Linked DNA regions of Canis lupus familiaris. The protein of the gene in region 2 purifies or fractionates together with the protein of the main gene of each other region. This does not show direct contact. Links are inferred from orthologs where the notes say so. Each region holds a gene or a part of one and is shown on either strand. Other genes may lie near its edges.

What was found. Proteins that work in one complex are often made in the same cells at the same time.
Region 1: the proteins of TSSK6 (region 2) and FKBP5 purify together in Homo sapiens (affinity purification with mass spectrometry; 4 studies listed by BioGRID and IntAct, with this or other methods). This does not show direct contact. The link is inferred for Canis lupus familiaris from reciprocal best matches to the Homo sapiens genes TSSK6 and FKBP5.

Annotation. Positions count from the first base shown.
Region 1 is NC_049233.1:4,906,467-4,909,966, reverse strand, and holds part of FKBP5 (peptidyl-prolyl cis-trans isomerase FKBP5), read left to right. Parts: intron 1-1,008; coding exon 1,009-1,194; intron 1,195-3,500. UniProt on the Homo sapiens protein: Immunophilin protein with PPIase and co-chaperone activities. Component of unligated steroid receptors heterocomplexes through interaction with heat-shock protein 90 (HSP90).
Region 2 is NC_049241.1:44,140,202-44,143,283, forward strand, and holds TSSK6 (testis-specific serine/threonine-protein kinase 6), read left to right. Parts: upstream 1-1,160; 5' UTR 1,161-1,309; coding exon 1,310-2,131; 3' UTR 2,132-2,582; downstream 2,583-3,082. Other genes in the region: NDUFA13 (NADH dehydrogenase [ubiquinone] 1 alpha subcomplex subunit 13), read right to left, coding at 366-459. UniProt on the Homo sapiens protein: Serine/threonine-protein kinase component of the sperm flagellar doublet microtubules. May act as a regulator of sperm motility by mediating phosphorylation of sperm doublet microtubule proteins.

The DNA of each region.
Region 1 (3,500 bases), on a different chromosome or scaffold from region 2:
GGGATGGGTAAAATAGGTGAGGGGGATTAAAGAATGTACTTGTCATGATGAAAAAATGAATATATAAAATAATAAAAGTAAATCATTTTTGAAATAAGTTGTACACAGATTTTCGACTGCCTGGGGAGTCCCAACCCCAACCTGTGTTGTTCAGGGATCAAGCACATTTGTATACTGTCTATAGCTGCTTTTGCACTACTGTTGACCCAGTTGCAACAGACATTGTTTGGCCTGCAAAGCCTAAAATATTTATTATCTGCCCCTTTACAGAAAAAGTTTGGCAACTCTTGGTTTAGGTAACTTAAGATTTGCTGTGTTTACAGCTGGCACTTGCCAGAATGCAGTCTCTACTACGGAGTGCTGATCCTCAGGAGATGAGGGAAAAGTAACTTCCCCTTCAAGTAAATTAGTGATAGAGTTTAAAACTACTCACCGGGCAGCCTGGGGGGCTCAGCGGTTTAGCGCCACCTTCAGCCCAGGGCGTGATCCTGGAGACCCCGGAGCAAGTCCCACATCGGGCTCCCTGCATGGAGCCTGCTTCTCCCTCTGCCTGTGTCTCTGCCGCTCTCTCTCTTTCTCTCTCTCTATGTGTGTCTCTCATGAATAAATAAATAAAATCTTAAAAAAAAAAAAACTACTCACCAACCTTTTGAAAGTCTGATAAATACTTGTACCAAAGAATGTAACCCAAAGCCTTGATGCCCTCCTGCTGGAAGAACTGTCCCCTCTGAAAAAGATGAGATGGTACATGCTGGAGAACAGCATTCTATAATTCACTGTCCCAAACCAGCTCAGAAAGCACTGGCGCTGCAAGGAGAATGGAGAAAGGGGCCAGGATGGCTATCTCTCAAGAGCAAAAAGAAATGATCAAATACCATGGTCAGTAGGAGAGGTTGTTTCACTTTGATGATTTGTTTTTTTTTAGGGAGGCCTGAGCTAACATTTCTCTTGTACCCCTGACCCAGAGCCTGTACAACAAATTCTCACTAGCTTTTTTTTTTCTACCAGGGAGGCAAGTACATGCAGGCAGTGATTCAATATGGGAAGATCGTATCGTGGTTAGAGATGGAATATGGCTTATCGGAAAAGGAGTCAAAAGCTTCTGAGTCATTTCTGCTTGCCGCCTTCCTGAACCTGGCCATGTGCTACCTGAAGCTTAGAGAATACACCAAAGCTATTGAGTGCTGTGACAAGGTAGAGTGTCTGTGTGTGGACTGGACTTGAGATGTTCCAGATCTTTTTCTCCATCTTCATATTTGGTCATCTTTTGCTCCTTTGTAGCCAAGGGGTGGAGGGTTTTTCATTTTGTTTTGTTATGTTCATTTGTTTGCTTGGAGTTGTTTCTTTTTTTTTTTAAGATTTTATTTATTTATTCATGAGAGACACACAGCTACAGAGAGAGGCGGAGACACAGGCAGAGGGAGAAGCAGGCTCCACACAGGGAGCCCGACACGGGACTCGATCCCGGGTCTCCAGGATCAGGCTCTGAGCTGAAGGCAGCGCCAAACCGCTGAGCCACCCGGGCTGCCCTTGGAATTGTTTCTCATTATGAATTGGGAAATTCAGAAAGATTGAGATTACAGTCAAACTTTTTTTTTTAAGATTTTTTTTTCCTTTAGAGAGAGAGTGTGTGTGCATGCATACGAGGATGGAGGCAGAGGGAAAGAGAATCCCAAGCAGATACCCCACCAAGTAAGGATCCTGATGCAGGGCTTGATCCCACAACCCTGAGATCCTGACCTGAGCTGAGATCAAGAATCAGACACTTAACCAACTGAACCACCCAGGTGCCCCACAGTCAGGCTTTCCTGATGCATAGACTATAGTAATACACTATGAATAATTTTTAATAAAATTGGGGCACTGGGTGGCTCAGTCAGTTAAGCATCCAACTCGTGATCTCAACTCAGATCTTGATCTCAGGGTTGTGAGTTCAAGCCCCGTGTCAGGCTCCATGCTGGGCATGAAGCATACTTTAAAAAAAATTTTTTTTTGTTATTAAAATTATTTTCATCCATGACTTTACTTAAATCTATGGCCTTTGGTATCAAATTGAACATCAACTCCTCAGGTTCAATGTAATAACAGATTTAACCTAAGCCTTTCAGGGCTTAAGCATGATAGACTTGCAACTACTTACATAGAAGATATATACATACATTTTTTTTTATACATTTTATACATTTTTTTTTAGCAGAGTAACATGCTTTTATTTTACAACAACACATATAAGGAAAAACAAATATGCCAATGGCACATTTCCAGTTTGACAGGCCACTTCTGTATACTTCTGGGATTGTTTCTGCAGACCATATTTCTAGGAGTGAAAATATGGAGTCAAAAAATAGGATTACTGAATATTATCCATAGTTTTTTTTTTATTTATTTATTCCTGAGAGACAGAGGCAGAGACATAGGCAGAGGAAGAAGCAGGCTCCTTGTAGGGGAGCCTGATGTGGAACTTGATCCTGGAACTCTGGGATCATGCCCTGAGCCAAAGGCAGACGCTCAACCTCTGAGCCAACCAGACATCCCTTATCTTGGTTCTTTTTTTTTTTTTTTTTTTTCCAATATTGCCGGCAACAAAAAACTCTTATTTTCATTTTTATTTCTTGGTTACTGATGAAATCATACAGTTTTTCATAACCAGCCATTTTGCATTTCTTCTGTGAATTGCCTGCTCACATCCTTCAACTAGATTGATTTATATTGAGGCAGTCTGTACATTTACTTCATTGAATCTGTCTTTTCCTTTCTAATTAGAAAGGTCTCCCCCACTCTAAGATAATAGAAATAATTCTGTTTAGTACTTTCAAAAACTACTCCAACTAGGTGTACTTTTTTAAAAAACTAATTAAAAATAACCCTATTGTATTTTGATGGGACAGATTGCATGCATGTAAGTATGCTTGGTCTAGAATTTTTTGTGTTTTGATATGAGGTAAAAATTTCTCTTATTTTCCATGTTCATTTATTACAGTGTAGGCCCCATTTATTATGAAGTTAATCCTTTTCCTACTGATTGACATTCCCACTTTTGTCCCTGTTAAATCTTATTATATATACACACAAACCTGTTTCTGAATGCTTTGTTCTGTTCCATAACCTCTTTGCCCAGAGACAAGCAGTCCATCTTTTAATTTCAGTTTTTTTCATAGTGTGGTTTAATTTCAGTGTGTTTAATTTTAGTGGTTCCATAGTAAGTTTTTTTTCTGTGGTCGGTCAAGCCTCCTCTCATTATTTTTGTTTTTCCAAAATTTTCTCAGCCATTCTTGGACATTTGCTTTTTCCATTGAATTTTAAAATGAACTTCTCAATAGGCTCCTCCCCAGTCCCCTTGGAATCTTAATGGAAATTGCATTAAATACAGAAGTTAATTTGGATATAGTTGGTTCTACTTTGATTAGTATTTAATTACCTTGAATCTTGTCACTTCAGTAAACTTTTTCCAGTCCCCTTGGCCAGAAAAGTTTGGGAAGTTATTTAAATACTGAATTTCT
Region 2 (3,082 bases):
TTACACTGGGTGGCCCTGGGGGCAGGTAGCAGCCTTTCCAGGGCCTGTTTCTCCGCTTGTGAGAGGGAAGTGTGGCCGAGGGCTCGGGGCACCGGCTACATTCATCTGTTTAACCAACTGCAGAATGGAAAGAATTAATAGGATCGACCTCCTGGGCTGTTCTGTAAAGAAAGCAAAGCTCAGCAAGCTTTTGACGAACTCCAGCAGTTACCGTCGTTACCACCGAAGCTACTGGGGACCCCTGGGCTCCTTCTCCCTTCACACCGCAGTGGAAACTGAGGCCCGCGACCCCCCCCCGACGCCCCGCCCCCGTCGCGGCGCCCCGAAGCCCCAACTCTGACACCCCGGCGCTGTGCGACACTGACCCGACAGTCCCCGACGCGGAAGGTTCCGCTTGTAGTCGATGGGGCCATAGCCCCCCGGCGGGGGCATGTCCTGTTTCACCTTCGACGCAGCCATGCTCGCAGGACCCGCACTTCCGGCCGCGGGCGGAAGTTACGTCCGGCGGCCGCCGCCATGATGAGTGTGGCGGACCGTACGGCGCAGGTCTTGGGCGGGGACTAGGGCACCTAGGACCTTAGCGGAGCGATCCCACTGCGAGGGAGGTTGGGCGATGGCTACAGGGATCAACTGAGTGGCCAAGCTGCAGCGGAAGACTCCCTGTTTCTTCTTTTAGACGGGGCTGCCTCAGTCGCTGTAGACGGCTGTAGTCCGTCCAGTCGCCCAGGTCCTTGCCCTAAAGGACCTCCCTTACACCTTCCCTCTGGTGCGATGCTCAGGCCATTTACCCCAAGCTCTGAGGGAGCCACGTCACCGAGTGTTAAGCCCCCTTTCTCGTTTTCTCCCCTTCGCGGGGCTGTGCGGGCGTCCCAAGGCTCCACACGGCCAGGGCTGGGTACACGAAGCTGAGGGGACGACTGCTGCTCAGATTTGACTCATGAGGAGCTGCCCCAATGCCAGGCACCGATGCTGCTCCCGAGTGGTGGTCGGGACCCCTTGCTAGTAGCCTCTCATGGGAACTGGACCATTTAGAGTGATTATGAGTCACAAAGCCTGATGGCCTTGAGTGGCCCTGTGGGGCGGGGTCCAGGGGGCCCTTACCCGAGGCGGGGTGACGCCCGCAGTCACTTCACAAGGCAGAAATTGTTACCTGGGTAATAAAAGGCCCCGCCGCGGCAGGGACCCGGGAGTGGGCACATGGGGGTGCGGGTGTGCAGGTGCCAAGCGCCATGGGTTAGGCCCGAGATTGGAGTCCGGCCGCCCCCCGACAGCAGCCGCCTCCTGCTCCCCGCGCGCCCCAGGCGCCACCATGTCGGGCGACAAACTTCTGAGCGAACTCGGCTATAAGCTGGGACGCACGATAGGCGAGGGCAGTTACTCCAAGGTGAAGGTGGCCACGTCCAAGAAGTACAAGGGCACGGTGGCCATCAAGGTGGTGGACCGGCGGCGCGCGCCACCCGACTTCGTCAACAAGTTTCTGCCGCGTGAGCTGTCCATCCTTCGGGGCGTGCGGCACCCGCACATCGTGCACGTCTTCGAGTTCATCGAAGTGTGCAACGGGAAGCTGTATATCGTGATGGAGGCGGCCGCCACCGACCTGCTGCAGGCAGTGCAGCGCAACGGGCGCATCCCCGGGAGTCAGGCGCGCGACCTCTTCGCGCAAATCGCTGGGGCTGTGCGCTACCTGCATGACCACCACCTCGTGCACCGTGACCTCAAGTGCGAAAACGTGTTGCTGAGCCCCGACGAGCGCCGCGTCAAGCTCACTGACTTTGGCTTTGGTCGCCAGGCACACGGTTATCCTGACCTGAGCACCACCTACTGCGGCTCCGCCGCCTACGCGTCGCCTGAGGTTCTCTTGGGTATCCCATACGACCCCAAGAAGTACGACGTGTGGAGCCTGGGCGTCGTGCTCTACGTCATGGTCACCGGGTGCATGCCCTTCGATGACTCGGATATCGCTGGTCTGCCCAGGCGCCAGAAGCGCGGCGTCCTCTACCCCGATGGCCTCGAGGTGTCCGAGCGCTGCAGGGCCCTGATCGCAGAACTGCTGCAGTTCAGCCCCTCTGCCAGGCCCTCAGCGGGCCAGGTAGCGCGCAACGGCTGGCTGCGTGCGGGGGACTCCGGCTAGAAGCCGGGGTTCCCACCATTCCCGCCGTCCCGAGCACTGCGCAAGCGCAGCGCACGCGCGTGAAGCGCGCTTCCGTACCCCCGCGAAGCCGACACGCGCCACTGCGCACGCGCATTTCCCCCTTTTTCCTGTCTGGACGGCTGGGGCCGTAGTCGCCCCTGTTTGGAATCTAACCCCTCTCCCCACGATCCCGAGAGCAGGAGGGCGCAAGCGCTTCCTCTGTTCCCCAAGAGAAGGCCTCGGGAGGGGAAGGGACGAGAAGAAACGGAAGCATTGCGCCAGCGTGGAATGAGCGACGGCTGCTGGCAGGCGGTGGCTACCTGGAGGAGCTGCCCGCGAGTGGACGCGGGTGGAGGGCGCCCTTCTCTAGGCAGCCGCGCATGCCGGTGGGCGAAGGCGCGCTCCCGGCACTGCCTCCTTGCAACTTGCAATAAACTCGCTCTTCCTCGAACCTGCCTCTAGCAGTGGCCCTTTTACCGAGCAGGGGTGGGAGGTCGTCCCCCGGGGAGGCAGGCGCGGCGCCCCGTTGTGGAGGAAAGCTTGTTAAGGTTCTTGGTCTAGGTCTCGAAAGGGAACTGGGTGGATTCAAAGCGGACTTTTGGGCTCTCCAGCCTCAGCCGACTTAAAGGGATTTTGGGGTCGGCCTAGGGTTGCGATGACCCTGGCAATGGAGATGCGGGGCTGGGGAGCAAGGCATTCTCCCTGTGTTTAAGGATGGAACAGCGTGGGGGCGGAGGGAGGGGCACCTGTCTTAACAGAAACCGGGCGTTTACAGGATGAGGAAATTGAGGCCCACACAAACACTTAACCAAGAACACATTTGGAATTTGACACTGGATATGGCTGGAGTGGGGGTGGGAGGTGATGGAAAGCTCTCCTTAGTAAGGGCCTTTCCTCAGTAAAGAAGTTGCCTTGAAGGGGAGAGGATCAAGGGTGGGGGCCTAAGCCTGC